2 linked regions of the Diceros bicornis minor genome follow. The protein of the gene in region 1 binds, or shares a complex with, the protein of each later gene. Links are inferred from orthologs where the notes say so. Each region holds a gene or a part of one and is shown in the gene's direction. Other genes may lie near its edges.

Region 1 (16,151 bases):
AGCAACCATGACCTCCAGCAGGCCGAGGGGATGCCTGCCTCCGGAAGCCCCAACATCCTGCACTCTGCTGAACCCACGCGTGTCAGGCGGCCCGTCCCAGCTGCAGCACTCAGACGGCCTGACCTGACAGGCTGGGGCTGAATTACCGGCCCCTCAGCTAGAAATAACCCTCCGAGAAGTGTGTGGTGGCTACGTGTCCACAGGAAGGGGAGGAGGCAGGGCAGGGGAGCCAAGGAGTCCCAGGATCCCGAGATAACACGGGTCCGGATGTGCAGAGTCCCAACGTGGTGGGCCGGCCTGGGTCACAGGCTCCAAGGAGGTGAGTGGGAACCAGGATGTCTGCTCCCTGACGTGGGCTGCGTGACAAGCCCCAGGCATCCTGAGAGGGTGGGCTGGATTCCCATGGGCAGCCTTTGAGCACCAATCAGATCAGGCAGACTGTGTGTGCGTACACACATGCACGCACACACACGGCTCCTCTGCAGTCCAAAGTTTCTATTGTTCCTTCCCTGGGCAGATTCCAGCTTTAGAAGCACCACTGTCTTCCCTCTGGTTCTGCTCAAAGTTGCAGAGTAGGATGACAGGAGAACACAGCAGCCTGGCAAGGCCCTGCAGGCAGAGTCACCGAGGGCTCTAGACCTTGCTCCGTCTTCCCTCACCTAGAAAGGTACAAATATCTTCTAGCTGAATCCCTCTATTCTACAAAGAACAGAGTGAGAATCATAAAGGTGAAGATGAGCTTGCCAAAGGCGGACTCCTGCTTCCAAGGTCTGCTCTTCCCACTGCGCGATATGAGTTGGTAAGGGTAAGATCTGGGCCAGAGACAAAACCTTTGCTGTAGGCATGAAGAGAAGTTCATGTCCCTGAGGTGGGGGAAAGGGAAACTGTGGGAAGCCAAACCTTCCCATCCCCGGGGCCAGTGCTAGGACTACGGAGGCAAGGATGCCTCTGTTTGCGAAATCCTCATCCAAAGCCCGAATGCCATTTCCTCTGTCTCCACAGCACCCCCTTTCCAAGGGCACACAAAGCCACCACACACTTCTCCACAGCACCCTGTATTCCAAGTGGCACAAATGAGACGTGAGATCCTTGCGCAAAGCAGATGAAAAGAATCACCCACTAGACACGAGGCAGGCTCAGGATCCAGGGGCCTGATTCCCTCCCAATGAATTTATCCCAGTGAGTAAAGGTAAGCGTGGTGTGGAGGAAGGTACTCTCGCTGAGGGTCAGAAGCCTGATTCTAATACTAAGCTCTGCCACTAACATGGCCATGTGACCTTGGGCAAGTCACCCCTGGGCCTCAATTTCCCTCCCTGTAAAAACAGGCTGTAGTGAGGATCTCCAAGGTTCCCAACCTCCAACTATGAGATTCTATGCTTTTATGACCCACACCCAAAGGAAAGTGGGGGGAAGAAGAGACCCTTTGATTGCCTTGGTTGGAAGGAATTAGTAGGGGGAGGAAGGGGAAGAAAATGATAGGGAAAGGGAATGGATTCAGAATTAACGAATCTTCCAAGCTCAGAAAGCTCCAGGTGAGGTTCTGATTCAGAAAGGCACAAAGAGGAGACTTGGGGGGGTGCACCGGGGGGAAAGCTGGGGAACTCAGTCACCTTAGCAAGGACTTCTCTCCATGAACTCTGGCAGCCAAGGGAGGCTTGATCTCATACTGACTTGTAGGAATAATGGCTTGGGGGAAGTGCCTCTCCATGTGGGCCATTTCTGTGAGGGGCAAGTGAGATAACCATTATGAAAGCATTTTGAAAAGTTAAGAAGCCTTATTTAAATATAACAAAAATATTTTTTTTTTCTTGGAGGGTAAAGAGTGAAGAGAAAGAAAAAGGAGTCGAGGAGACCCCTGAAAGTGTGAATATGTGTAGGGTTTGGGGAGGGGGACACAAATTGACCAGCCTTACACTGAGAATTCTTGATTCAAAAGCTGTGTCTCCCATGCTCCCCCCACCCCAAGTCTGACCCAACTCTGGCTTTGCTCTGAGTGGAACAAAACCCTGCTCTTATCACCCACAGTGAAGCTTCTGTGAGGTCACGCACACAGGCCTGGCCTCCCTACCTGGGACACACGTCTTCTCTCCCACAGGTGTAGAGGTGGAGGCCAGGAGAGGGCTTCTGGGATGAAGGGGTGTCAGCGGGGAAAAGGACCGGTGAGGAGTTGAGAGGGAAGGAAAGGAACTCCTGGCTGCAGCTGTTGACCGATCACTTGGACTTCTCCTTTGCCCTCTGCTCTCAGGCTCGTCCAGGACCTTCAGTTGACCAAGGTGCCCAGCACAGACATCTGCAAGGCTTTAACCCCTCTGTCCTGCAAAATAAGCTTCTTATTACGGCACCAAAGGCGAAACAGTGGTGGCATGGGTTCTGTGATATGACAGAAGTCATTTGTATTGCATTTTGGAATGTATAATGAGGGTGCTATTTATACATTTAGATTTACTTTTGAGTAAATCTGTTGGGCTGAGACTGATATTAGAGTGACCTATAATATTAAATTATAAAATATATATAATCATATATATGATATTAAGTGCTAGATTAAAGGCATCTGCCTCCCTTGAGTTAATCCAGTGTGGACATTATTAAGCAAGGCAGGAGGAGAGAAGCAAGTCCATCAGCAGAGAATTGGAACGCTTCCTGTCACCATCCACAGGCGGGTAATTCCCAGGTTACCAGGTCTAGCATAGCAGGTGATAAAGCAGACAATTTAGGGGCACTGGAAGACAAGACAGTGTCCTACCCCCAGAGAAACTCCCAGACGGGAATACCTGGGAGAAACCTTAGAGATGATTTCATCCACACATCCCACCTCCCCAGTTTGCAGCTGGGGAAACAGGTGCCGAGAGGAAGTGACGTGTCTAAGCTTGAACACACAGATTTTAAAAAAATGAGTTCCATTTTTGACAGGGAAGTGGATACATGTGACAGGGAAGGGTGAGAGATTTGCTTGTGTCTTATTTTAAAGAAATGAAAAGTGACTAGCTCTACATAGTGAAATATATGCTGGTTTAGCACATTTCCTTTATCTAATCCTGGAATGAATTGTTCCAGGTGGTGACTAGATTTTGACACCTGTTGAGGCAAATGCTATTGCTGAGTTTTACTTTCCTGTTTTTTAATAGACTTTATTTTTTAAAGCAGTTGTAAGTTCACGAAAGAATTAAGCAAAAATCACAGAGAGTTCTCATATACCCTCCTCTCCCCGCCATGCACACAATTTCCCCTATCATCAACATCTTGCATTAGGATGGCATATTTGTTACAACTGATGAACCAATATTGACACATGATTATTAACTAAAGTCCACAGTTTACATTAGGGTTCATCCTTTGTGTTGTATAGTCCTGTGGGTTTTGACAAACGCATAATGGCATGTATCCACTATTAGAGTATCGTACAGAATCGTTTCACTTCCCTAAAAATCCCCTGCGCTGCAGTTCTTTGCTTTATGTGTCCTCCGAGTCCCCAGCACTCCTCATTGTGCAGTGTCTCAGCTGTGATGGAGCGAGAAAGTGCCTGGATTGTATGTGTTCAGCTCTGGGCCCTGACAGCTCGCATTTGACAGTAAAGCATTTGCTCTTGAGGGATGCTCTTGGTCATACTAAGTCCTGAGGCTTTCTTGCTTCTTCTCATTTCCAGCCCATCTTTCTTCAGCGTTCTGGCATCAGCTTCTTTTCGGCCACTGTCCCTCAGATCTCTCTTCTAATGTTCTTCAGAATTCTTATACTCAGTGTGGTCGTTTTATTCTCTGGAAAAACTTTCAACTTCTAAGCAAACCAACACTCGGATATGTATAGTTTTAATTAAATACTCTCAAACAGTTTTTATTCTTATTTTAAAAAAAAACCTTTTATGCTCTGTATTAAGTTTAAAATAGGTGGCAAAGTTTCATGTTACATATTTGAAAATCGAGGCTTATTTTCAAAAGGTCGAAGTAAATAGCACTCGGATGCCTAGTCTTCTCATCAACAGTCATTACTGACCTATCAGTGTGAATATTTACAAACTTACCAGATCACTGGAAGCTTGGGGTTCATCAGCAGGAGGGGCAGGGGTGAACCTTGGAGAAGCACCTCGACATTTTATATGGATTTGAACTCCTTTCCAGGCCTCGATGTTCCACTCCGCTTGAGTTCCAGGAACCCTCACCCAGAGTGTTGAAGGGCCTGCCCTGGAGATGAGGCCTCCCACGAGCCTTTATTTTGGAAAGGCTACCATGATGAGAATAAGCTGGAAAGTTTATCTTGGGCAGGAGAAATGGAAACATCTCATTTGGAGGGAAAGAAGGGAAGAGGAGGAGATTGACCCCACGGGAGGTATCGGGTCTAGACTTCCTAGTCCACCTCCCAGGACTGTTTTGAGCATCAAATGAGACACTAGGTGTGAATGTGCATTGTAGGTTGTGAAGGGCTGGGCAAATCCACACTAAATTCTGCCCTGTACATTGTAAACACTTGGAAGACCAGGACTGTACTTTTTCATTCTTAGGCTTCTCTAAAGATTTTCTACAAAGTACTAGCCATAAAAATAGGCTTTCTCTAAATAGTTACATGTTGATTGAGTGGATATATTAGAACAAGAAAGAATCTGATTGCATATAAGGAAGCACATTTTAACTGAGTTAAATAAATTAAATACTGCATGGTAATATTTAATTTATTAATAAATTTATAATTAAGAAATAAATTTATTAATAAATTAATAATCATATTACCAGCTTCTGGTAAGACGCCGCAACCCACCAGGCTCAAACTTCCAGTTATCTGGTAAGTTTATGAATATTGACACGGATAGGTCGGTAATGACTGTTGATGAGAAGGCTAGGCATTTTACTGCTATTTACTTCACCCTTTTTAAAATAAGCCTCGATTCTCAAATGTGTAACACGAAACGTTGCCACCTGTTTTACACTTCACACAGAGCATAAAAGGTTTTTTTTTTTAATAAGAATAGCAAATGTTTGAGAGTATTTAATTACTGAGAATATTTAACTGAGAATAAGATATGGGAGTGGCATTTTCAGGAAGACTGTAGCACCTCCCAGATAACTTTGAAAAGAGAGGAAACAATCATTTGTCCTGGATGGCTTAGACACCCACCTGCCTGAACCTAGGGACCGGATGAGCCAGATGACGGTGAAACCGTTGTGGAAATGACGGAGACAAAGCATGACGAGGTCGCAATAGGGAGCAGAGGCCTGCCAGGTCCTACCATCTGCAGACGGAGCCTTCACACAGAGCCTCAAGAAGAAAAGGAAACCGTGAGCCACCCTAAGATCACCTCCCTGCTCCCGGTGCTCTTTCACCCTGATGCCTCCAACATGTTTTCATCACAGCCTCACAGCAGTCAAGACACGTTATATTTTGAAAATTGTTGAAAAGTCTTCACATGGAGAGAATGTGATCTGGGGAGATAATCCTTAGTACCTTCCCAGAGAGGACTGTGAGAGAAAGAAGTCAGAGGATAAGGGAAAGGAATGGGATTGTGGGAATATAGATTCCTATAGCCTCCATCCCATATTTAAAGCCTTGATTCTGTGGTTGTAAATGCAGGGACTGGACCAGAGGCCCCTACGCAGCCCCCCAGGGCAAATTTTCCTGAAGCCGGAGCAGTGGCTTGTGGGGCAGGCTGGAGAAGAGCAGGTGTCCCCACCTGCCACCTCCCAGGCAGCCACCAGGGCCCCAAGGCCAGCGATATTGAAAACCACAAACCACCAGCCTCCTCCCCGGGCTTCCTGCTCCCGTCAGTGTTTCATATTTGGCTCCTAAGGTCACACTAGCTCCCAGATCCTCCGACCTGAACTGTGACAGATGAATGCCCTCTAGATGCAAAGAACAGAAACCAACTTACCCTGGGCCCTCCCTTCCCTCACCATCTGATGCTTCTGAGAGATGCCACACCCACCAGGCTCAAGGATCAAAGGCACAGTGTACTGATTTGGTGTTCAGTACTAAAATTTCCTGGAAAGGACCGTTCACATCTTACCCTGCCCAGTTAGGCTGGAAATCCCAGAAGGGAGTGGCAAATGGAGAAGCGGCCTTGGTTTCTGTGTACTAATTCCAGTGCATGGTTGGGATGCAAAGTCTGTTTCTTGACAAGTACTTTAGCGTCATTAACATCTAGTGTGGGGGATTAGACTCTCCCAGGTAGATTTGAAAAAAAGTGCAAATAACTGGGCTTCACCTCTGCATGTTCAGTAGGTCTAAGATTAGTCCTGGGGTAGTTTCTGTGGTTCTAACGGGCAGCCAGCTTTGGAACCCTCAGGTAGGGAGTTCAACCAGGAGCTGGAAATTCTGCTGTCTGCATGCTGACAGGCAAATCCTCGTCTCTGCTCTCAATTTCCTATATCTCAGGTGGAAAGAATTATTCTAGTAGTGTTGTACCTTCTTTTACTCTCGTCAAGTGGGGAATGCTTCTCTCCTCCCCCATTCCCTTCATAAATAAACCTGCTCCCCTGGGCTGTCCTCTGCTTCAGATTCGGCTGCTAGGCATTCAGGGCTTCTTCCTGGAGGGAAGTCTTTGGAAGCGGAATAAGCTGGCACATCAGTTCTCTTTCCTAACAAGACAAGCTGAAGAGGCCAGGGACGGTCCCCCTCAATCAGCCCAGGAATGGAACGATGCCCATGCCCTCCTCCCAAGACACCTGCACTCCCGCCCCAGCGTGCCTTGGGGTGCTGGGAAACGCCCTGCCTGTCCATCCTACAAGGCTCCCTCGAGTCTCTCTTCCCTCCAAGCCCTCCTTAACCACAGTGTCCACCCACCGAAAACTCCCCCTTTTCTGAACGCCCTTAGCATTTCTTACACATCTAGTAATTCAGCTCCTCTCACAAGCGCCTTATATTGAACCAAGTTTTTCTCCGCTCAATTGTATTATAACCCCCTTGAGGATAAGTTTGTTCTGCTTTTTATTCCTATAACTCCCTCTTCCCTTCTCTCTTGCTCGGAGAAGTTTCTCAATACGTGCTGATTGTTTCACAAGTACTTCCCACCTCTACCACTCGAAACCAGAAGAGGAAATGTAGGGGTATCAATTGGCAAATGTTCCTGAATGATTTGCATTTCAATTCTGAAAGCTGGCTATTTCTTCGTTAGCTAAGATGTGGTACTATATTTATGAACCATACTGTGACCATTATGAAAGAAGACTGTCTTATACATAAGCATTTAAATGTCCTAAATCTTCTACCTAACCGGGGGAGACAACACTCTGTATCTTAGAGACACATCCTGGTTTTACTAGAGAAAAACCAAAGAGTACTATTGGTTTGTCAATGGCCCCGCTGCTCCTTGCACTCTCTTACCAGGCTCCTGGCTCTCGCGGCTTCGGCCCTAACACGCTGTGTGGGTTTATACATCCAGCGGTGCTTAGGAGCTCTGGAGTCGGGCTGCCCAGCTTCAGGCCCGACCTCTTCTGCATAGTGGCTGCACACCTGTGGGCACGTTACTTAAACTGTGGACACCAGTTTCCTCGTCTCTGTAAAGGAAACAGCAGCACCTCCTCACAGGGCTGTTATGAAGATTAAATGAGTTACTACAAGTAAACCACCTGGTAAGCTCTCAGTAAATGTTAGTTGTCACTGTGATTATTATTGCAGAAGACCTTGTCCTAGCTCTCCCATTTATTTGCTGCGTGACTTTGGACATACAAACCCCAAGATCTCCATTTCTTCATGTATAAGATTAAAATATTGATAATGCCTGGTGTGCCTATCTCACAGAGTTGCAGTGAGATTCAAATGAGCTAATATATGTGAAAATGCTTCATAAACTAGAAAAACTCGTACAAATGTAGGATAACAAATGGCACTTCTTTTTGCCTGCACCTGTGTGATCGCACATCCCAGTGTGCTTTGTATGACGGTTACTTATTTTAATCTGCCTCCTCCATTAGCTTGTGAGCTCCTTGAAGCAATGATCACATCTTGCTCCCCCTTCTCTCAACCATGATGCCTGATGCCTGCACATGGTATGTACTCAGCAAATGGGAAATGGGTAGAGTAGCAGTCTCCGTGTGCATATACGTTTCCAGTATGTGTTCCAGTAGTTTGCTCCCCGTTGGACTGCATGTGCTAGGACTATCCCCCTACATCAGAAGTAGCTTCCCAGAGGGCATACCTGTGAGCAGCATCTGCAAGAAAGCATCCAGGCCCAGGAGCCAGGCACCCAGTAGACACTAACTGTGGGGACATCCTGGCCTGCTGCTCTGCTCCTGGGACCTTCCTGGTCTCTGATCCCCTGTGCTCCGTCAGCAGCCTTCCAATCTTCATGAGGTCTCTGAATGAGTCTCCATAGTATTGGAGAGACAATAAGAGCAGTTTACTCTCCCTAGACAGTCCAAATTAGGGAAACTGAGAAATCAAATCCCAGCATTTCATAAAGCAGCAGTGACTTCAAGACCTTGTTTTCTTTCCTCCCATTTTGAAATCTTCCCAAGGAGGCAACGTTGGTTTTTGTGCCTCTGCTCACAGCTTCCATATCTTTATGAGGAGGCAGTCTTGGAGGATGCCATTTGCCTGATGGTGTCCTGTATTATTTCAGTATCCTTCAAAACACCCACCTAGTGCTGTGTACAGAGAGAGCACTGGATACATAGTCCCCGATTGGAATTAAAAGGACTGAGAAAACCAAAATGAGTAGACTCAATAGGAGATTAATTGCATAGAAGTCAGTTGACTGCATAGCTGAAGCTGGATTTTTTTCGGAACCGCTGACTGCCTTCACATTTCCTGGTGGAAGTTGGGACAGGTCAACAGACAATCCAGAGTCCGAGATAACTTTTGCCCACACATCATTCACTTTTTGGAGCGTTGGCTTGAAATTGAGGGGTGTGTGTGTGTCTGGAACCGACGTGCCTTCCGTGAGCCTCAGAGGTCTCTGCACTCTCTCCAAATGGGCTGATTACAACACAGAGGATGTGGACAGTGGAGTTTTTCCTGTTTGATGTCACACGGCTACCCTTTAAAAGTCCAAGGGGAAAAAGGAGGGAATCCAGCCTAGGATCCTCACGCCAGATATCCACAAGGAAGAAGAGGAGAAAAGGCCAGCAAGGCACAGCCTTGAGTGGAGGAGGCAGTGTCAGGTTTCAAACTCCGTGCCAGCCATTCAGAGAGTGGCGATGTCGGGGGCCTGCCTTGGGCTCTTAGTCTGCATCCTGTGCTCTGTAGTGAGAGCCTATCCCAACGCCTCCCCGCTGCTCAGCTCCAGCTGGGCTGGCCTGATCCACCTGTACACGGCCACAGCCAGGAACAGCTACCACCTGCAGATCCACAAGGACGGCCATGTGGATGGCACACCCCAGCAGACCATCTACAGTGAGTAGGGGCTTCATTCAGGCTGGGAAGAAGGGGGAGCTCCTCTGTCCATCCAGCTACAATGGACTTGGGGCTGCCTTGGGCTGGACCAGAAGACTAATCCAGTTTCTTGCCCAGGATCCACTTATGTATGTGTGTGTGTGTGTGTGTGTGTGTGTGTGTGTGTGTATTTTTACACCTTGGGAGAAGATTCTGCCACATCCCTAATTAGTGTTTACTGGTTTCTCCCAACATGAATAATTTCTATCTTAACAAAAATCCCTCTTCCCACACTAGCAGCCACTTTCTCTTTGTCCTGTCCAAAGAGTCAAAAAATGTACAGAAAGAAAGGCAAAGAGGCTGAGAGGAAAAGAAGCCAGGTAGATCAATAGACATCCCGTTTTAGCTCATGAACTTTGGACTGGGTTAGCAATGGAGGTTGTAAAGAAGATTCCTGTATCAGACCAAGGGTTAGAATAGATGAACTCAGGGGCTCTTTCCAACTCTGAGCTTCTAGTATTCTAGCCTTATAAAAATTCTCAGGAAAAATGTACTAAAGACAGACTGTTCAGGTATATTGTCTTGATGAGCCTGACCAAGTGCATGAATCATCCATGCACTCATCTGTCCATGCATCCATGCATCCTTCCATCCAACAGGTTTACTGGGGGCTTCAGAAGTACCCAGTTTGGTATGAGTTGGTGATTCATCTCTGTGGAGCTGAAAGTTCCACTCGGTAGCAAATTGAGCTAGTTGGGAACACCTTGGCAACATGAGACAACTGGAATGTTTTCAAGATTAGGTTTGTGGAAAGTTGGATCACAATCCACAATAATCAATCAATTAGCTATGATTCAAATGAGGGCCCCTTGGTGTGCACCTATATAAGGGATAATGAGGTGGGCGGGGGGAGAGATATTGAAAAAGACAAGGTCTTCTATTTTAGGAAAACATCTAAAAATCACTCTAAGGATAAGAAAAATGCAAACTGATTCAATATAGATCAAATTAAAGTAATGAAAGAGTAACCATAGTCTTTTAATTAAAGAAAACTTCTTATAGGAATAATGATTTGCTCTTTATTGTTGTACTGAATTAATCAGCAATTTTGCTGTGGCCTTTCTGTGTAAGGCATTCATTCTGCTAAGAATCAAAGGTCCTTAAACCTGGTGGCAAGATATATGCACATGCAAAGCCAAGAGTTCACACCCGTCCGGGTGCTCAATGGATGGTCATAGGAGATGAGAGGAGGGAGAAAAGGTATTTCCAAATACCAAGTGGGTTCCAGAACTCAAAGGGATATACTAGGATTCTAGAGTCAACATCTTGGAAGCCAAGTTCGAGTCATTAGCAATAAGTCTGGATACATTCGATGCATCCAAAGTGTTGCTCCTTTTATTCCATCGATATTTAACAGAACCTCCAATATGTCTGACATTGTGCAAAGCTCTGTGACTGCACAAGAAGACACAGCCCTTCAGACACCTCACGATCTTTCATCCCTTCTTGTCTCCCAGCTTATTATCAGACTTTTAGGAAATATAATTTTGCACCTCGCCTGGAGGGCCACTCTTGCTTCCACTGCAAGATGATAGGTGATTTAAAATGCGGGATAGTGGATTGTGGTAAATTATTGTGATTCCCATAGATGGAAAGGGCTTCATACAACTAAAGAATGCTTATAATACTTGTCTAGAATCATGGAATCCCTTCACTGAAAGGAACCCTCCAAAGACATGTCCTCCTGAACAAGACAAAGAGCACAGCAGTGCAACCTGCTGTGTGGGCTGTGAGTGGTACTGATTTGTAGAACTTTGCTCTCAAATATCCACCGGCGTCGGGCCCAGAGGAGGCACTAAGGACTAGTTGGACTGAATTAAAATGACTGAGAAGAAGCAAAATGAATTGAACTGATTTCAGAATTTTTTTTTTTTACAGAAATGTGATTTTGTTTTGTCAGGTATAGACACTAGCTAAGCATTGTGTCTCTGGAAATTAACACAAACATGGGGAGGGGAACGCAGGTCAGCGTGGTGGGAAGGAGACACTTCCTAGTTTATAACACCTTTTGTACTATTCAAATCAGTTATCATGTGTATTACCAAAAAAAAATTTATACACTAAGATAAAAAGTTACCAAAAAAGGAAAGAGGAAACACTGATGCGTATAGATGGGTGGCACAAGTATTTAACAGACTGGTGAAAGATTCTCCCCAAGGAATGTAAAACAATGCATTTACACTGATGGAAAGATGTGGGGTGATTTTTCCCCCTTAATTAATTATAAGTTTCCAGTGAAATCTGGTTCACTTGATTATGGTGCTTTAGTAAATTCCTGATTAATCATCTTTGGGTTTTGTGAAATTATCTGCCTACAAGATTCCAGGACCTCTCTTGGGACTGGCAGCGCTGATGTCATGGAGCCGCTCCAGTGTCTATGTCAGCTGCCCACTATGAATGAGGCCGCCCTCCCACGCCCTGTCATTCTCACCTTGTGGAAACGGCAGAAAGGAGATGCTTATTACCCCTGGTTAATACACTTCCTAGATCCTGATGTTTTTACTTCCTCGACCTTCCCCACTGGCACTTTCTTTACTTGAAGCTGAATTATCCTCGGGCTCTTTCTTTTGGGGAGCTCAAAGCACTTTATATCTATCATCTTATTTATCATTTACTGGCTATGAGAATAGAAAGGGGCAGATAAATTTCTACTTTTATAGCAGAGGTTGAGGCGAAATAGCAACAGTAGACATTTCTAGCATTTAGAAAGTGCTTTTATAGTGGATAAAAATATTATCTCATTACATCCTCAAGACAACCAAAGGAGGTAAATGATTCTACTACACATGAGAAAACAAAGGTTCAAGAAGGTAAATAACTGGCTCAAGGTCACATAGTTAGTAAATGACCTAGAGGACACCTTGACCCCAATCCCATGCTTCTTATAGGCTCACATGCACAGACACCTGCTGTCACTCAAGGAAATGTCTGCTGAGCCTGCCTGGCTCCAACAGGTTGTGGCTCCAGGAACCAGTGATCTGTGCCTTCCTTCTGCCGTTGAATCTGTGCAGACTGTGCAAACCTGCCTTCTGAAACTGCAAAGAGAAGAAAATCCGTCTCTTATTTTCTGAACTTTCACATTGGCTCATGTTGGTTTAATTTATGTGTGCGTCCTCCATAGCAGCTGCTCGCTGTCTCTCTGCAGGCTGTTTTCTATTGGGACTGGCCCTGGTGACCAGGAGCATGTGTACTAAGCACACTGCCCACACTGACTCAGGCATCAGGCCAGCATGACTGCCAAGATCTGGGCTTGTCACAAACAGCAGGTCAGCACATACTATATAATGCCCTCCACTTGCTCCATGCTTTCATGTCACTTTTACAACCCTCATCCCGTTCGATTCGAATCGTAACCCTGTAAAGTACGCAAGACGGCTTCTACTGTTCTCTCTTCACAGCTGAGGAAACTGAGCAACGACTTGCCCACAGCTACAAACTCAGTGAGGGACATAATTGGGACCAGAATCCAAGTACCCTGGGTCCTGGTTCAGCGCCCCTTCCCTGACCCACTTGGGGGCACACAACTTGGGGTTCTTGTGGTCTGCAGGCATGAATTGTGGCACTTAGTTTTGTCTTCTCACGCCTGTAATGATTTCTGTGGGAGGCAGGCTACAGGGTCGTAGGAAGAGGATGTTAGAGTCACTGACCTGACTTTGAATCCTGCCTTAGTTTCCTTGTGACTTAAATTAGGATGCTGTGACTACTAGCATTAATACTAATTATATTAACATCAGAACAGTTGCTTCGACAATTTAAAATATGTACGTAGAGTGCAACCACTCAAAAACAGTTACTAAGTGTAGTGTTTTCCCCAATTAGATTGAAAATTCATCAGCACAGAAACTCTTTCTTACGTGTTCCTTACACTTCTCTCAGGGCTTACCATAAAATTAGCCACAAATTTGAGACACATAGGCAGACCCCATTTTGTGATAATTTAAATATCCTCTGTACCTCCCATATCCCCCTCCACTTCCAGAAGCTTCCCTCAAGGCTAACCCTCAGCCAAACTTGGAAACAAATTTAGTTTTCTCTTTGGCCCTCTTCTTGCCTCTTCTTTCTGGCCTTGCTCCCCTGCTCACTCTCTCTGTCCCACATCAATCCAATTTCAGTCCACATCAGGCTCTATACTCAGCTAGTGTCTAAGCACGGCCTGCTACTCTCCTCCGAGGTCTTTGTATTGAGCCTACATGGGGTAGGGGAGGAGAGTTCAGCTGTAAATCACCCACGAGGCACAGATGATGGGCATTTACAACCTTCTGCACACAGAAGAGCATTTCAAACCCCTGCCTGGGCTACCTCCCTGGGGGCTGTGAGGCCAAGTGAGATGCATGTGGAAATACTGTGGTGTGTAATAGAGGTGTAGGCATTATGCTGAGCAAGCTGAGAAGAAAGAACAAGTAATTCTGATTAGGGAGATCAGGAAAGTCTTCATAGATATGGTGACTTCTGAGCCTGGCCCTGGAGGATGGGTGACTTCAACAAGCAGACAAGGGAGGGTAATATCTATTCTAATGCAGTTCTTGACACCTAGTGGGTGTTAACTGACACGTGGCAGACTATTACCCAGCTACTCGGGTGGAGAATCACACTCTATATGCAAGCCGGATCTTTGAAAGACATCTTGGCATAGACTTAAAAATCACAAAAGCAGAAGGCTTGGAAGAATGTGACCACCACCACAAACATTAAGAGGTATTAGCCAGGCAAAGGGGAAAGTAAATTCAGTCCAGGCAGAGAGAGAAACGTGTACAGCACAGGTGAAAGAATGCCGTGAGTTCAGAGTGCTCCGTGCAGGCAGGAGGATGACACAGGACGCAAATGTGGGGGAGTAGGGGGTTGGAAAGGGGGGGACAGCCAGAAGAAATGAGGCTGAATAAGGAAGTACAAGGGGAGGGCTAAGTGAAATCATCACCACGGTTAACAATCAGTCAAGGTAGGTTTCACGAAGATGCGTTTTCAGGAAGTGCTTGAACAAGGAAACTGGATGTGTAGCGAGATTTGACCTGACTGATTTTCTCCGTAGGTGCCCTGATGATCAGATCAGAGGATGCTGGCTTTGTGGTGATAACCGGTGTGATGAGCAGGAGATACCTCTGTATGGACTTCAGAGGAAACATTTTTGGATCAGTGAGTTTCTTTCTGTGCTGGTCACCACTGGCAAATAATTAACTTCTCTGACAGAAAATAGAATGTTATAACCTAAAGGTTCCATTTGCAGTGTTCCTTGGTGATGTTCTCACTGAGCGCTTTATTCAGTCTAAGGACTAAGTGCTCAGGTTCATACAGCTGGGGGTTGAGCCAGGCAGTCTGGTTCTGCAGCCCACGCTCTCAGCCCCAGTCTGCACCACCTGTTGGTGCCCGCTTTTGTCTCTAGCGCAGCACCAGGTCCTCCAGCCACGCAAATTCACGCTGTCAAGTGCAGCGGGAAGCAGGAGAAGCCGCTGGGCCTTCCTGATTCTGTGCTAGACTGCCCCGACCTCGGGGAGGTGCCCTCGCTTCTCCAAACGTCAGCATCCTCACCTGGAAAAGTCAAGTGGCATGGACCACATGCCCAGGGGAGCTCCCTCCGGTTGAAGATCTCTAATTAATGATCTCTGCCCCAACCGTGATGGCTGGTCATTCAGATTGGGAAGCAAAGGATTTCCCAAATGGCAGGTTGCAGGCATATTCCAAAGGATTTTGAGATAGTAAAATAGTAGGACTGCTTATCTCAGGAGCCTCCTACCAGACAGGCCCCCTAGAAATTCCATGAGAGCAACGGCTCTCTGTTCTGCTTATTGCTGTGTCCCAGCACCTGTAACGGTAGATACATACCTGTTGAACAAATATAGACCATCAGTCAATCAGTCATCAATATCTGTTAACCACATATAGGCATATAGATAGTCCTCATCTGTAAAATACTTCGTGGAGTTTGAGGATTAAATGAAATAATATGTGAAGGCCCTAGCAGGCACTCACTAAAACCCAGTACTGAGTGGCAGAGTGAGGGCTCAGACCCAGGCCACCTGTTGCCGAAGTTCATGTCCCTAATTCCCAAACTATATTCTCTCTCTGATGTGAGTAACCTCATTTATGTTTGACCCTACAAACCCCATCCCATCTCCTTCCTCCAGGTAAGGAGACAGACCCCAAATCCCTTTGAGCCAAAAGAGGGTTCAAAAAGGCAGAGCGGGAGGGACGAGGTTGCACATAGGTTAGCCCTCCCGCCGGCCGCCGGACACAGGTGCTGCGCTCTGTCCAGCCTAGCCCAAGCCACCGCCGGCCACCGGGGTCTCCAGGCAGGGGCTGTGAGGCCCTCGCGGTCGCCACTCCTGGCAGCGGGGTCTGTGCTCCGTGCTTGCCGTTTGGAAAGCACTCGTCAGAAGCAGTGTTCCCCAGCAAGGCTCCACGGGGTTAGGCGCACCCCCCTACAGAGCTGCTGGGGACGCGGAGGGGCCCCTCGCCAGCCGACTGGGGGCTGCAGGCTGGCCGGCAGCGCGCAGGGCCGGTCGGCCGCCCTCAGCTGGTCCGCTTGCCCTTCCAGCACGACTTCAGCCCGGAGAGCTGCAGGTTCCGCCAGCGCACCCTGGAGAACGGCTACGACGTGTACCAGTCCCCGCAGCACCTCTTCCTCGTCAGCCTGGGCCGCGCCAAGAGGGCCTTCCTGCCCGGCACGAACCCGCCGCCCTACTCGCAGTTCCTGTCCCGCAGGAACGAGATCCCGCTCGTGCACTTCAACACGCCGCGGCCGCGGCGGCACACCCGCAGCGCCGAGGACAACTCGGAGCGCGACCCGCTCAACGTGCTGA
Region 2 (16,175 bases), on another chromosome or scaffold:
AACCCAGACTGCCTCCAAAATTTCTCCCGACTCCTTCTACCGCACCCAGGATGTTAGAATTAGCCCCATCTGTGAGGCAAGGAAGTGAAGGGCAGAGGGGTGGGTGGGCTGCCAAACCATGAGCCCTTGGCTTGCGAGACTTCTTAGTCTGGATTCAGGAGTCCCTGATAGCTGTGTGTCCAGCCCTATTGGTGTGGGGACACAGGGATGAACACTTTCTTGCCCTTAGGCGGTTCACACACTGTTAAAGATCATTATGGTGATGGTCACAGTACAGGGTGCTGTGGGAACACTCAGGATGCAGGCCCTAACTCGGCCAAGGGTATGAGAAAGCTGGAGAAGTTGCGAAATCAGCATTTGATCTGCGTAACAACCTTCTGAGCTAGGTGATGATATTCCATTTTATAGAGAAGGAACAAGGCTTAGAGAGGTGCAGTGATTTGCCCAAGCTCTTGACACTAAGAAGTGGCAAAATGGAGAGTGGAATCCAGTTCTCTAGATTCCTAGTCTAGAACCCTTTCCAAATAAGGACTAGCATCCTTCCCTCATCCATCTGGGTGACCCTGGGCCTGCCTCACCCATCTCCTGGCAGCGCCGTGGACCCACAGAGCAAGCAGCCACTCAGGGCAGGGGCAGCAGCAGCAGCCGTCACAAAACAGATTGGACAAAGCTCAATGGTTATTTTATATCCCAAGCCCCCCGTACCTCTCATAATTTTACCCAAGATTCCCAGTGTATTAGACTCTAGTTATAACTAAGAAACTTAAATCAAAGTGGTTAGCTAAAAAGAAATTTATTGAGCCAGCCCTGATGGCCTAGCTGTTAAAATTCAGCGCACTCTGCCTTGGTGACCTGGGTTCGGTTCCCGGGTGTGGAACCACACCACTCGTCTGTCGGTAGCCATGCTGTGGTGGCGGCTCACATAGAAGAACTAGAAGGACCTACAACTAGAATATACAACTAGGTACTAGGGCTTTGGGGAAGGGAAAAAAAAAAGATTGGCAATAGATGTTAGCTCAGAGCAAATCTTTCCCAGCAAAAAAAAAAAAAAAGAAATTTATTGATTCACCTAATGAAAAATCCCAGTACAGGGATGGCTAGATCCAGGTTCTGACACAGTGTCATCAGGAAGAATTTAATCTTGCTCTACTTTCCTCTGTGTGGCCTCTCTCCAGACTGCGGACTCGCTCCAGAAGGAAACAAGATGGCCACTGGCAGCACCAGGCTTATATCCTGATATATTGGCAACTGCAGTGGAAAGAACATCTTTTTCTACTAGTTTCAACAAAAAATTCTGGGACTGACTCATCCAGCTTGGTCCTGTTCCCTTCTCTAAGCCAATCACTGTGGCTAGGAAATGGTACTCTGGTTTGGGGCCTGGGAAGGAATGAGCTCCACCTAAAACAGAGAGAGAGAGAGAGAGAGAGATGTCCCTAAAAGAAGGAAGTGTGGGCTCCTTCCAGACTAAGGGAGAAGAATGGATGTGGGTAGGCAAAAATAACTGTTGTCAACCATACCCAGAAATTCTTTATTTAACCATTTCTTTATTTTTCCCTAACTTTTTGAGATACAACATACATTTAGTAATATGTGCAAATTTTGAGAGTTCAGTTTGATGAATCCTCACATGTCTACACATCTGGACAGTCAGTCTCCAGATCAAGATACAGAACATTGTCAGCTCCCCAGAAGGTTCCCTTGTTCCACTTCCTAGTCAGTATCCCTGAGAAGTAAACACTATTTTGACCTCTATCACCATAGATTAGTTTTGCTTGCTCTTGAATTTTATAAAAATGGACTCAAACATACATTCTCTTGTGCTCAATATTATGTCTGTGAGATTCATCCATGTTATCGTGTGTATCAGAAGTTCAATTTTTTCCTGCTATGTAGTAGTACGTTATATTCTACTATTGATGGACAATTGGGTTGTTTCTAGTTTTGAACTATTATAAATAAATCTGTTGTGAAAAATTTTTTATGTGTCATTTGGCATGCATGTCCACACATATACCCAGGAGTGGAATTGCCACATCATAGGGTAGGTGTATGCTTAGCTTGTCTAGATACTACCATAATGGTTTTCCAAAGTGGTTCTACCAACTACATTCTCACCTGCAATGTAAGAGAGTTCCAGTTGCTCCACATCCTTGTCAGCACTTGGTATTGTCAGTCTTTCTAATTTTGGCCATTCTGATGGCACTCAGGAATTTGAACCCAAGGGTCCTGACTTCATATCAGGGCCCCTCTTTCTGTGAGCACCCCTGAGATCAGGTTTGAATTTCTCTAGCCTGGAATGGTCTCGGATGTCAGTGCCCAGGACCCATAATACACAATCCAGCAGGTAAACACCAGGGGGAGCGCCTGCCTGTGGCTCTGGTGGCCAAGGAAGGTCTCATGGAGGGAGAGGCGTCAGCCCTGGAGAGGCAGTCTGGTGTAGAACTCAGGCTCTGAATTGGGCAGCCAGGGCAGATCCCAGCTCTGCCATTGCTAGGCTGTGTGATCTTAGTTAGTTGACCTGTGCCTCAGGGTGAAGCATTAGTACCTACCTTACAGGGTTATTTTGGGAATTAAAAGAATAGATAACATATGACACAATTACAGTGCCTGATACGTGAGAGATGCTATGTAAATGGTGACTGCTGTTGTTTCTGTTATCAGCCTGAAGTAAGCTCTGGGTCTCCCTGGGGAGGTGAGTCCACAGCAGAGGATTCTGGCACAGCCCCCTGTATTAACACTCAGTGAGTTATAAAATGCTAGAAACATAAATCAATCTGATGGAGGGGGAAGAGGGGAGGCAACATGCTGGCCAAGGTGGTTCTTCCCTGGGCTCCAGCAAGAAGTCACCTTCCACTGCTAGGGAACCTCTGCTAGGGAACCTTATTGTCTGCAGCCAATGACACCTGAGGAGAAGACGAAATGGAATCATGCAGTAAAGCTCTTAGCGCAGGGCTGGATGCAAAGCAAGTGTTGGGATGTAACAGCCCCTCAATGCAGACACAGAGCTGTGTATGTATCCATATAGCAGCTGTGAGGCATGTCATGGGGAACACTGGCCTGGAATTCAGGGTCCCTGGGCGTTGGTCTGAGCCCTGTCACCAGCTTCATGTGACCTGAGGCCTTGATATTTTCTGTGAAGTAGAAGTTGGAAAAAATCACTGTTCCCAGCCAGAGTCCTGAAGAGGTGGTGATGGGCAGTTAGGAGTTCTTCCCAAAGAAGGTTGAGAAGAAAGCCCTTCTCTCACGGCAGCCCCTGCCAGATGAACTGCGCACCCCTAACCAGACCTTCTGATTGGCAGTCACTAGTGTCAAATACAGTAGGAAAACTTCTCCCTCTGACCATCTGGCTATCTAACAGCCACACCTATTCTACCCTGTGCCAAGCCCACATTGCAGAGAAAGCAGCCTCGTCCCTGCTCTGGCACTCCCAGGCTCGCTGTCCTCCACCAATGCTGCTGCATCTGTCCAGGAGCTTCAAAATGCGCAAGAAACCTTATGGTTCTCTAAGTGGGTCAACTCTAGTGCAATAACCCCTCTAGCCACTAGGTGGAGGACGCTCCTTTTTTGCTAGGCAAAATAAACCAGCTCTGGGACCCTACTGTTTGATTTGATGCCCGAATGAATAGGATGACTTCCTGAGCCCTATATTTGATATTTCATTTAGCCCTCAAGACAACTTGAAAAGGCTCAGTTCACAGGAGAAACTCAGAGACAAAGTCGCGCAGAGCTTACGCAACCAAGAAGTAGCCAGGAGAGATTCGACTCACATGCTCCCAAGTCTTAGCACACCTGCTATCTCTACTTCCAAAGGTGGGCTCCCCCTTCAGGAGAACACTTCTGTTTGAGGGCTGCTTTAGTCACCTGTCTGGGAGCACACCTGATGTCTGGCCTGTTCATCAGCCTTTCTTTTACTCTTTTCCCTTGGGTAACATCTCTGCTCCATTTTTAGACCCTGTGGTTCTGAGAGACTGACCCCTCCCCCTGGCTCCAGGGGTGAACCTGTGACCCAGGCCTGGGCAATCAGAATCATAAGTCTGGAGCTGTTAGTAGCTAACTTTGCTAAAACATAGGGACAATCTGCCTGAGAATTAAGGCAACACAGAGGAAAACCGAGCTGAGAGATGAGAAAAGACTGATTTCTGATGAGCACCTGGATCCAACCATGCTGAAGCTAATACTCTCAGGACTTTTTAGTTTTGAGTTAACAAATTCCCTTTTTCCTTAAGTCAGTTTAAGTTGGGTTTCTATCACTTACAACCAAAAGTTCTGCCTAATACATGCTCCACCTCCCCTTATCAACCTGGAGCCCTGCACTCATCCTGAGAAGATCGCTGACCCCGAGGCTGAAGTGGCTGCCCTTCCATGCTCCCAGATGCCCTGTGCCCCTCCAGCATTGCCCTGAATGTTCTGTGTTATGATCTGTTTAATTCCCTGTCTCCTCTTTTAGATTAGAAACTCTTTGAGGGCAGGAACTGAGTCTTATTCATCATACTGAGTCCCTGGTGCCCAGCATAGGACTGTGATTGTTTTAGTAACTGCTTGGGATTGAGTAAATTAATGGATAAATGAATAAAGGTGGGTATAGGCTAGTAGAGACCATTGGTGGGATTTCACAGAAAGATTTCTTGAAGGACCTGAGCCTTTAGTGGTTATCTAGGTCAAAGGAACCAGGTCACTGGGGTGGGAGGAGAGTTAGTGAGGGGTTGTGGGGTGCAGTAGATCATAATGGCCTCAATAATTTCAATAATGGCCTCTCATGAGTCTTCACCTCCCTGTGTCTGTGCCCCTTTGCAGTGTGACTTTGTCACTCCAGCCATCAAGATGGGGAGTCCATTTCCCAACCCCTTGAATCTGGACTGGCCTTGAGACTTGCTTTGATGAGAGAATGCAGTGATGTGACATTGTGCAATGCCCAAGGCTAGGTAGGACTCAGACCTTGCAGCTTCCACTCTTGCCGCTTGTGAAAGGAAGTCTGGGCCAGAACACGTGGAGGTGAGAGACCACGCGGAGAGAAAGGCCAGCAGCTAGCTCCATACATGTGAAGGAGGCCATCTTAGACCCTCCAGCACAGTGGAGCCACCAGCATAAGTGACCTCAGGAGAGACCAGCAGAACTGCTGAGCTGACCCCAGCTAATCCACAGAATCATGAGCAATAACAAAGTGTTTTAAATCACTACATTCGGGGATGGCTTATTATTCAATAAAGGCTCCCGGAATCACCAAGTATAGTAACCATATCTTGTTTTGGCCTCCTGGTATCTATTTACCTTTCTTCCTGTAATAGGATTACCTTGAGGACCCCCACCCTCAGCTTATGTGGTCTGGGTGGGGATGACCTCTACCTTCCTGGCTTCTGCTAGAACTATGGGGAAGGAGTTGCTAAATGGGAAGATCTTGAGCCCAGAGCTGTTGACAGCCTTCTTTGTCACCTCTTGGGGAGCATCTGCCACAGAATAGAGCCATAGGGAAGAAAGCAGAAGAGAGAATTGGTCTTGATCTAGCTGTTCCTGAAGCCAAATCCACTCTTGGACTTTAAAATTGTATAACCCAATAAATTCACTATCTTGCTTAAGCCCATTTGAGTTGGGATATCTGTGAGTTGCAAATGAATGAAAATGTTCCTTGAGGGTCAGAGAGTTTGATAAGGGCTGAGCAGTCCCTGTCAGAGAGTTGTTAGGGTAAGACAGAGGTCCTTAAAGAATGTGGGAAAGGGAATTTATTTTTCCTCAGCCCCTACTGTATGTCAGGGCCCTGGAATGAGAGACAATCTTTGTCCTGGAGGACCTCATGGGTACAAATGACTCATTACAATTGTGATAAAGTGCTGCATATAATAGGAAGACTGAGCCTAAGGCTGGGAGTGGGGCAGGAAAGTTCCCCTGAGGAAGTGACTCAAACTGAGATTTGGAGGATGAATACAAGTTAGCCGGTGGGTGAGGGGAGAGAGGTGAAGGGAGATGTTCCAGGTAGAGGGAACAGCATGTGCCAAGGCCCTGAGGCAAGAAGATGCTTTTCACCTGGAAGGAGGGATAGTGTGTCACCAAGTAAGGAGAGAGACTGGCAGGAGCCAAGTTCCTCAGGACACATCAAGATTTTCAGCAAAAAGCAACAGAAACAAACTCCAGCTTGTTTAAGTTCACGGAACTACCAAGAGGACTAAAGAACTAGGGTCGGGGTACACGACCAGCATCCCCCTGTATCACATCACAGAACGGGTGCAGAAAGGACACCTTTGTCTCCACCAACACTAAGCACTGGACACTACTGCCTGTACCACTAGCCCAGCCAGCCTGGAGACTGGACAGGCTCCCAGTGCCCCATGCCCAAGAGCTCAGTCCTGTTACCATGGCCCCACCAGGGAACATTCCTCCTGGGCCTCCCTAGCCCAACTCCTGGGCATCTTTGGTTTTCTGGAATGGATGCCATGATTTCGCAGAACTGAGCCTTAGCTGGAAGAGAGATTGGAGGAGTAGCTAGCATTTTCGGCTTCTGTCATGAGAGGTGAACTCTGCCACATAAAATGGGGATATTCCCAAACCTAGAAAAGGGTTCAGATGACAAATGCCAGGGTAAGAGCTCGTCTTGTGGTGGTTCTAAAATATGTCTGCAAAATTTTTTATATTCCTCTCTTCAAGAAGTCAAGTTTCATCTCCTCTCCCCCTACCCCATTCCCTGCCCCCATGAGGGCTGTAATTAGTGACTCACTCCTGACAATTAGAAGAAGGTGAAAATGATTGAGTGTGACTTCTGAGAGGAACTTGTGCAAGACAGCACAATGTCAGTCTCCTCTTGGCTCACCAGCTCTGAGGGGCACCAGCCCACATATCATGAGGACACTCAAGCAGCCCTGTGCAGAGGCTCATGTGAAAGGCAATGGAGGTCTCCTGCCAACAGCTGGCCAAATATTTGTTACTTTAAGCCATTAAGTTTTGGGGTAGTTTGTTATGCAGTAACAGATAACTAATACAAGTTTTTATCCTAAAAGCAATGGGAAGGCATTGAAAGCTTTTAAACAAATAAGAGCAATGACATGATGAATTTGCTGACATGTAAACAGATGAATACTATGGCCTAGGAGCCGACAGAGGATAGTAGAGACACAGAGGAGGACGGGGTAATTTCTACTGGGGAGGACACTTTTTAGGAGCCTTTCATCTATAGAGTTAAAAAAAAAAGGTCAGATTAGCTTAAGAAAAAAATTATTTCACTCATATAAATGAAATGTTCAAAGAGGTAATTTTGGCCTCAGGCATGGCTGGATCCAGGCATGCTGCATCTCCTGGCCCTCTTGTTTCCTGTGTTGGCTTCATTCACAGGCAGGCTGTCTCAAGTAGTTCTAGGCTTCCATAGTCATACCTCAGTAACCTCTGAGCATGTTAGTTTCCCACTAGTTCCAATAAAAGGCCCAGACTGGCTCTCGTTGGCCCTGCTTGGGTCACATGTTCATCTCTGACCCAATCACAATAGCCTGGGGGATGGAATCTTCTCATTAGCCAAGTCCAGGGGCACATGCCCACCATAGGAGCCAGGGAGAAGTGTTGGCTCCACCCAAAACCCCAGCGGACTGGGAGTAGGAGAGAGCCAGGACCTCAAAGAAAATTGAGGGGCTGTTTCCAGAGAGAGGAAGAGGGTTTAGATGTCCAGTTCATGGTGGTCAGGGAGGGTCTCAGAGAAGAAGGAATGCATGAGAGGAGTCCAGAAAAAGGAATGGCAGGCACCTGGGGGGATGGCTGGAGGGAGCCAGAGAGGCACTGGCAGCAGCAAAAGCAGCAAGGGCAAAGGCACAGAGCTGTGAACATTGGGCATGCTCAGGAGGGCCTGCTGGAGCTCAGTGCAGCCGGAAACAGAGCACGTGTCTCTGGCGAGAGGGGAGACGGCCCGGGAGAGAGCAGCAGAGGCCAGGGGCCCTGAGTGCCGCTCTGAGGAGCTGGGGATGCCCGTGGGTGGTGAGAAGAGAGTAGTCAAAGCTGAGGGTTGACTCGGTTAGGTCTGTGATTTAAAGAAGCCATTGGGGCTGCTGATGAGCTTGGTGACGCAGAGACTGTTGGGTGCCTGCCCCACAGTCAATCAATCCTTCTTTTTACTCTATTAAAGCCCTGGTTTTGTTAGGGGAGGCAATGCGTCCAGCAGAATAAACATGCTTCCTGGCCATGTGTCACAGTCTGGCCAAGGAGATAAATAAAATCAGAAGTTGCTGGGTGCAGATTCAACCCTTTTGTGGCTTCTTTCTTCCTCCTGCATGAGCACAAATGTGATGGCAGGAGCTGAAGCCACCAACTTGAAACCATGAGGGAAAAGTCTAGAGAATTGAAGAGACTGCAACTCTGACTTCAGACCCACTTTCACCCACCTCCAGACTTGGGGCTAAGTGAGGGATGAATAAACCCCTGTTTTGTTTAAGCCCTTGTTATTTGTGCCCAAACAAAATCCTATGTGGTCCAGGTGAGCATTAGGCAAGATAGAGAAGGGTGAGGGCCCCTCTGGGGCTTGTTTCCTGATTCCCTTCAGACCACAAACCCTCTAGCACTTCCTGCCCAGCCTCTGCCACTTCCCAGGTGTCCTGGCCCCCTCCCTCCTCCAAACAAATGTGCATGCCAAGATCCAGGGGATGTGAGGTTTGTAGGCCCAAGTCTAGAGAGAGCTGAGTCTGGCAAACCATGAAAGCCCCAGACACTCCCTGTCCAAATAAGCCAGGACATGGGCCCACAGTATCTGGGACCAGGGAACAAGGGGACCAGGGGAGCTGCTGAGATGCTGGGTAGCACCAGGACTAGCCCAGAGAGAGCCTCAGATCCCTCCTAGCCCATTCCCCTCCATCTGGCTTGTTCTGAGGGGCCTCCCCAAGAGCTCTCCCAGGCTGCCGACATCAACGCCAGGCTCCCGGCCTCCACCACAATGCCCTGGGCAGCCTGCAATTCATGGCTTTGTTGTCTCCAGAGTAGAAATTCGACATAGATGTGCCCAAGGGGTGGGGAATGCGGAGATTTGAGGGCTGGAGAGGGTGACCCTCACATTCTTCCCTCTTGGTCACAGGAGTGAGTTTCCCATACCTTCAGGTGGGTCCCACCCTGGACCATCGTTGTTAATATGAATATCTGCCACTCTTTACTGAACATGGCTGTGTGCATTAAGCTTTATATGCAGCACCACACTGAGTCCTCACAGAAGAGCCATCATTCCCATTTTATAGAAAATGAAACTGAAGCTTAAAGTTAAGTGACTTGTCCAAGGTTACAAAGTTTTCAGGATTCAAACCCACATCTATCTGCCTCTAACACCCAATATTTCACCACTCAGTTGCTGTCAACGTCACCTCAATTTTAATGAGCCAGGCCAGGCCCCCCCGGAGCCTGTGGGAGAAGCCAGGATAGAAAAGGGTTGGAAAAAATGGTAAAGTAATAACAACTGTCAATTCTGAGTAGCCACTGTATGCTATTACCCTGGGTAACTTTTTCTATATTTCAAAACTTTCTGAAAATACAAATTGTTTTAAAAGAAAGAAATGAAGGAGAGAAGACAAGAAAGCGCAGGACTGGGTCAGAGGCTGGGGCCGGGCTGGGGCTGGAGCGGGGCCGGGCAGGGGCTCAGGGCAGCCCTTCCGCACAAGAGCTGCACTGTTCCAGGGCCCGGCTGCCATCCAAGAGCAATACAGTAGGCACCAGGCAACGTCGGCCCCCTCCCCCCAACTCTGCTCCCAGGCAGGTGAGGGGCGGGGCATGGCCTCAGGAACCCCTCCTGGCCCGGCCTGGCATTCCAGGAGCCTCGGGCCTGGTGCTTCATAGGTGCCCCATCAGTACTGCAAATGGGCAGGGAGAGCAATACCCAGCCGCAGCCTCCACACACCCTCCCCTTCAGGTGAATCTCCACCTTCCAGGGTCACAGGTAAGGATGGGGGCAAAAAGTGGGCCGATGTGTTAGCATCCACAGTCTCAGCTCTGTGGACAGTCACCCTGAGCTCTCTCTCTTTGTCCCAAATGATTAGGGTTCAATCTCAGTTCTGTTCACTTGCTATGTGAATTCAGACAAGTCATTCCATTTGCCTGAGCTTCTGTTTCCTCACCTGCAAAACAGAGCTAAGGACTCCTACCCTCATTTGGCTGACGGGAAGATCAAAGGACTTAATGCCCATATACTGCCTGACCTTGTATGATGCCTGGTATACAGGGGAGCTCAGTCAAAGCAAGGACTTCTTCCCTACTTCCTGTTCTGGTGAAACCCATTCCCACCTCTTAACTCATTCACTTCTTCCAACACCCCTGGGGAAAAGGGGGCAGGAGTGTGCCCATTTTCTGGATGGAGAAACTGAGGCAGAGGCAGGCTAAAGGCAGGATCTTAGAATGGCAGGCTTCTGAACCCCTGCTAGGGGTGTGTGTGTGTGTGTGTGTGTGTGTGTGTGTGTGTGAAAGTCTTTGAGAGAGAGACTGTAAATGCAACTGGTGAAAGATTGTTAACCAAAGAGTGAGCCTGTGACGGGCAGACGGGCTAGGATTCCTCTCCCAGACAGCCTTGGCATGCCTCCTTCTGGGTTCTGCTTACTTATCTACCTCTCCCCACAATGCCAGCAGCTCCTGGAAGGGTGGAGGCTGGGTCTGATCACTGCTTTATCCCCAGGATTTAGAACAGTGCATCCCACATATTGAACCCTCAATAAACAGTAGACGAGTGAAGGAGTGAATGAATGACTCTGTGACAGAGCGTCAGGCTCTGCAGAGGGTCAGTGTGAGAGGCCGTGAGTGTGGGAGGGGGGCTGAACAGGGGATGTGGGGTGGAGGGGTGAGGTTGCCAGTCTAAGGGTCTTGTGTGTCTCAGGGGGCAGGGAGGTTGCACGACCTGGGCTATGAAAGCCTCTACTCTGCCTTTGGCTCAGGCGAACTGGGAAAGCGCCTGGAAGTTGAATGAAAGCTGTGTAGGGTCCAGCTCCTGCTGGCAGCTCACCCACCCCCAACAACCACATTCACTAAAGGGAGCCAGCAGGGACCAGAGGCAGGGAGCTGAGTCTCTCCAGGAGTCCAGGAAGCCTGGCGAGGCCCCTCTGGGCAGGAGGCTCCCATTTGCTGCGCATCTCCAGTGCCAGGAGCCTCAGCCTGCCCGAGTGCTCCAGTGAGGAAGGACCCTGGATGAGGGGAATCAGGACAAGCTGTTCTTAAAAGTTAGCCAATTGTCTGATTTATCTTTGGGAGGAGGCCATTCTTTAGTTTGAGAAGGAAAAGAAAATCACTTTAATGCGCCTTTTAGTCATACAAAGGAAAATCCTCTATCCCATTGGGAGTAAGAGTGGAGAAAGCGGAGACCTCTCCTCATAACAATGGGAACGGAAGCTGCTTCCCCCAGGGCAGAGTCTCCACCAGCCAGAGGGCTATGTGGGAAGGGGAGCCTGAGACCCCAGGGGAGGGGTTTCCTTTCTCCTCAAGGAACCTTCAGAGGAGTAGAGGGCTGGGACTTGAGGTGAGGGTTGTGCAGAAGTCAATGGTTGGCTGGCCTCCTGTTTGGCCACTGTCAAGATGCTCAAGTGCTTCCAGGTGAGGCAGACCTGAGCCATGTGGGACAGAGCGATTCCGGCCCACCCACTGTGTGCCAGGCACTTGAGACACAATGGTGGGGTCTGCAGGGAGTTCCTGCCTTCTGTTTACAGAATTAACTCTTTAGTTACAATTCTGGAACGTGTCATGAAGAAATAATGGGTCCTAAATAATCACGGCTAACACTGCAAAGCAAGTGCTATATGTCAAGCAGTGTTTTAGAACAACAGGCTTACACATACCAACATGTCTACTTTTTGCGACCATTTTGTGTGTGTGTGTGTGTGTGTGTGTGTGTGTGTGTGAGGAAGATTGTTCCTGAGCTAACATCTGTGCCAGTCTTCCTCTATTTTGGTTGTGGGATGCCGCCACAGCATGGCTTGATGAGCGGTGCCCGAGGTTCCAAACCAGCAAACCCCAGGCCACGGAAGCGGAGGGTGCAAACTTAACCACTACGCCACTGGGCTGGCCCCTGCTACCACTTCTTGAGGATACTATCATCACACCTGTTTCACTGCCGAGAAGAGGAAGACACAGAGATGGAGTAACGTCCCAAAGCCACTTGTGATGGTGCGAGATCGGAGTCCTGCGATGTGTGATCTGAACCACCTCCCTCCCAGCTTCTTTCTCCATGCTCGCCGAAGAGAAGCCACCAAAGAGGAACGTGTGGGGCCAGCCCGGTGGCGCAGCGGTGAAGTGCCCACTCCGCTGCGGCGGCCCAGGGTTCGCAGCTTCTGATCCCGGCGCGCCCCACATAGGCTTGTCAAGCCACGCATGGCAGCGTCCCATATAAAATAGAGGAAGATGGGCACAAGGTTAGCCCAGGGCCAATCTGCCTCAGCAAAAAAGAGAGGAGGATTGGCATCAGATGTTAGCTCAGGGCTGATCTTCCTCACGAAAAAAAGAAAAGGAAGACGGTGGCAAGTCCAGAAGGCTTCTCCGAGGAAGCGAGCTGAGACCTAAGAACGAAACGAAGCTAGCCAGACCTAGAGGAGAAAGAGCATTCCAGGAAGCAGGCACCACGCGCGCAAAGGCCCAGAGGTAGGGTGGGAGCAAGGAAGAAGTGAATGAAGGACTCGTCTGGAGATGTGGGCAGGGCCAGGTCACGTCAAGAATCTTTATAGGAAGCTGTTGGAAGGTTTTAGAGGGGAGGTTGTGGTTGGTACAGTCGGGTTTGTATTTAAAATACCAATCGGAAGGTGTGCAGAGGACGGACAAGGATGAGGGCAGAGGGGGTCTGCTAGCCACTGTCCCGCGATTGCGCAGAAGGCAGAGCAGCGAGGCTGGGCAGAGGTCTGCGGGGGCGGGCGGGTTAGGACTGCTGGGTCTCGTTCCCCAAGGGGTGAAGAGCAGGAGACAGAGCGATGGACTAGAACTTGGGAGCCTGGCCGGGGCGGGGCAGGAGAGGCGGAGTCTGAGGGGGTGTGCGGCAGGCTGGGCCCGGGCCCGGGACTGGGCTGACCCGATCTGCCGCTCTCCGCTGTCTGGCTCCGGGACGGGTCTTCAGGTGGGCGGGACGCGGTGCCACCCGCCAGCACGCCGCGGTCAGGATAGAGCTGGTCCGGGCGGGGCGGGGCCCGAGGTGGGCGGGGCGCTGGCCCCCCGGCCACGCCGCTGTCGCGGGTGCATTCCTGGCTTTGCGGCCCGGGGCGGAGGGACGCCCGGGCTGAGTGCGGTCCCCGCTGGGCGCGGGGTCGGGGCTGGCGGGAGCTGGCAGCGGGGCCGCGGAGGACCCAGGTGAGCGAGGACCCTGTGCCGGGAGCTGAGCCGCGGAGGATCGAGGTGACCGGGACCCCATGCGGCCCAGGCTGCGCTCCCAGCCGCCAGGGGGCGAGCGGCGGCTGGGTTCCTGGAGCTGCCCCCTCCCAGCACTGGGGACCTGGGCGTCCGCTTGGCGGGGGTTGGGGGGACGGTAAATCAGTAACCCGCAGTGCACACAGGGCCTTTTGTCCCGCTCCGTCCAAAGAGCACCCTGGCCGCGGAGCTGGTTACTCATTGCCCACCGGGGCGGGGGCGGGCCGTCTGTCTCTGCAGCGCCCCCTCGGAACTGCGGACTCTCACCTCCCCCCAGAGTGGCCGGGTAGGGGTGGAGGAGGAGAGCGCGCTGGTCCCTCGGCTGCTGGACCTTCTGTGCGCCCCGAGTAGAGATGAGGAAGATGAGGCTCCGAGAGGTGCAGTCATGGGCCCAGGGTCCCCCTGCCCCTGACTGCGGGAGGCTGGAGGAGAATCCAGGCTGCCTGATGCCAGAGTGAGGCCCTTCGGCCCCACGTGCAGGGCAGTCGGCCGGTCATCGGCCGACTGTGACCCGACTAAGGGCCCTGAGGTTCTGAGGTCAGGACAGCCTGGGGGTGGGAATAAAATCCTCGGGCCCCTCCACCCCACTCCCAGCCGCAGCTGTGGACCCAGAGAGACGACCTCCCTGCAGAGCAGAGCTCGGGTGGGGGAGGGGGCGCTGGTTTACAGAGGAGGGGCCATGGAAACTGGGGGTGGGTGCAGAGATGGTGGCAGCCAGCCAGGTGAAGAAGAGAAATGGAGACCACAGAGGAATAGGCAAGAGAAGATGTGCCCAGTTTTGAAAGGCAATGGTTCGGTATTCAAGAGGCTGAAGGGGCAGACTGTGTGACCAAAGACATTGACAAGGGCAGGCAGGGAGCCTAGGATGCATGATAAACAGTGTGGACTGGATCCTGCTGGATACAGGCAGCCATTAGGGGCTTGTAAGCTGGGGGAGGGGGTGACATGGCATACTTGTAATCTTTAAAACCTTGCTGGAGACCAGAGGCTGAAGAGCCCAAGGAGATGTTTGCAAAGGCCCAAGCTAGAGATGACCATGGCCTGCCCTGGGTACAGGCAGGGGAGGTAGGATGGATTGGAAAGGGATTGAGGAGGCAGAATGGACTGGAAGGAGGGGAGGGGAGAGGAGAGGGCATAGACAGAGATGATGCCCCAGCTTCCAGGAAAACCCACTGAAGGAGCAACTTGAAGGGGAGATAATGGCTTTGGCCTGGACAAGCTAAGTGCCCCCTGCCTCAGAGCCAGAGCTGAATGTGTTTTGGAGGGAGGTGGGAAGGGGAGGGGGCAGTGGCTGAGAAGGGAGGGTGTGATGGGCTTCCTGGTCAAGGTAGATCCAGAGACACCAGTGTCACCTGACAGCCAGCCCCAGGTAACAGCCAGTGGGCGCCGGGACTACACTGGTCACCTATCCTCCCCTGCCCCAGCTGAGGCTCAGTTTTGAGTGTTCCTTTTGGGGGATGGCTTCATCATTGGTGGCATGTGGAGGAGGGTAACAGGATGGGGTGGGTGTGTACTTCAGCGCCAGAACCGGAGGTGACTGGCCGTGGGCAGATCCAGGGTGACAGTCATGAGGAGGGGGAGAATAGTTCAACATTCTGTGTGCCCAGCCCCTGCCTTCAATATCTCTTATCCTCAGAGCTGTTCTGAGGACAGCAGCCCAGAGAGGGGCAGGGACTTGCAAGTTGATAAAAGTCAGGTTTTGAACTTGGCTCTATCAGACACTCGAGTCTACATTCTTTACCACGGTGTGTGTTGCCTCAGATGGAGATATGGGGGAGGTAAAGCAGAGGTATCCCCAGGATGCAATTCTGGTTTAGAATCAGGAAGAACTTCCTGCTTGCCATAGGATGTCCTGCCTTGTTAGTAGTGAGCACTGTGCCACTGGAGATAGCCAAAGTGGGTCAGGGGAATGTCAGCAATGCTAGAAGGAGTGGGGGTCAGATCAGAGAACAGCCAGATGCTGAAGTTTGGCCTTGTATTATATTTCAGATTGGCAGGGGGGAGGCTCTTTAGCAATAAATTCATTTATTCAGCAAAAAATAAATTATGTGTGCTGAAAGCGAGCAGAAGATATGTCTCCATTCTCTGCTTCCCTCCAAGGAAAGAATCCCAAAACTGCCCTTTCTGTGAACTTGTGCCAGGGTCTCAGCAGGACAGGAGGAGAGCAGGAAGCCCAGCCCAGCCCCCCTGCACGACCTACTGTGGGGAGGCCTTGGGCTCGGCAACAGCAGAGCTGGTTCCCGTCTCTGCTCTGCCGCTGGCCGGCAGGGGGCTTGGACAAGTCGGCCCACCATTTCATGTCTCAGTTTCCTCATCTGCAGGAATAGGGGGTAGTGCCAGCGAAAGTGCACACACGCAGGAGCTCTTCTCCCTCCGTTTCAGGAAGGCAGTCGGTGGGAAGCCCAGCCTGGGTCCCCGGGAGCAGCAGGAAGGAGATGCGGCTGCTGTTGACCCTGTTGGGAGTCCTGCTTGGGGTGCCCAGGGCTCCAGCTTTGTCCCTTGAGGCCTCTGAGGAAATGGAGCTGGGTATGGCCGCTAAGGTGGGAGAGGGTGGCAGGGGTAGGCACCTGGAGGGGGCTGCTGGCTGAGCAAAGCTGGGAGGATCCTGGCCCAGGCCCTGGGGAGGTGGCAGCAGGGCAGGACCCAACCATTGAGACTTAGTGTCTGGCTCCCAGCAAGCATCCACTTGTCTCTGTGTCCACAAGAGAGGACTGGCCTTGCAGGGCGCAAGGCCCTGAGCTGGGCTGCAGAGCTGGTGTGGTGAGCCCCTTGGCCGTGTGTGTGTGTGCGTGCTGTGCACTGAGCGTGTGGCTTGGGAGGCCCAGGCAGCATAGGCGGTGTATACACTGTGAGTATGATGT

The links.
Region 2: the proteins of FGF23 (region 1) and FGFR4 are in contact, whole or in part, in a cryo-EM structure (PDB 7YSW), measured with the Homo sapiens proteins. The link is inferred for Diceros bicornis minor from reciprocal best matches to the Homo sapiens genes FGF23 and FGFR4. Residues at the interface, in NP_065689.1 of Homo sapiens: Leu32, Gly33, Ser35, Trp36, Gly37, Tyr43, Ala45, Thr46, Ala47, Arg48, Asn49, Ser50, Ile75, Arg76, Ser77, Glu78, Asp79, Ala80, Gly81, Val83, Val84, Tyr93, His117, Gln118, Thr119, Asn122, Gly123, Tyr124, Asp125, Leu158; in NP_001341913.1 of Homo sapiens: Glu156, Lys157, Lys158, Leu159, His160, Ala161, Val162, Pro163, Asn166, Asp240, Leu242, Glu243, Arg244, Ser245, Pro246, Lys272, Val273, Tyr274, Ser275, Asp276, Ala277, Gln278, Pro279, His280, Ala308, Asp309, Ile310, Ser312, Gly336, Asn337.

What each region holds. Positions count from the first base shown.
Region 1 is NC_080756.1:57,133,127-57,149,277, forward strand, and holds the start of FGF23 (fibroblast growth factor 23), read left to right. Parts: upstream 1-9,122; coding exon 9,123-9,318; intron 9,319-14,383; coding exon 14,384-14,487; intron 14,488-15,886; coding exon 15,887-16,151. UniProt on the Homo sapiens protein: Regulator of phosphate homeostasis. Inhibits renal tubular phosphate transport by reducing SLC34A1 levels. Up-regulates EGR1 expression in the presence of KL. Acts directly on the parathyroid to decrease PTH secretion. Regulator of vitamin-D metabolism.
Region 2 is NC_080740.1:90,302,694-90,318,868, forward strand, and holds the start of FGFR4 (fibroblast growth factor receptor 4), read left to right. Parts: upstream 1-9,793; 5' UTR 9,794-9,883; intron 9,884-12,506; exon of another isoform or gene 12,507-12,561; intron 12,562-15,696; 5' UTR 15,697-15,749; coding exon 15,750-15,840; intron 15,841-16,175. UniProt on the Homo sapiens protein: Tyrosine-protein kinase that acts as a cell-surface receptor for fibroblast growth factors and plays a role in the regulation of cell proliferation, differentiation and migration, and in regulation of lipid metabolism, bile acid biosynthesis, glucose uptake, vitamin D metabolism and phosphate homeostasis.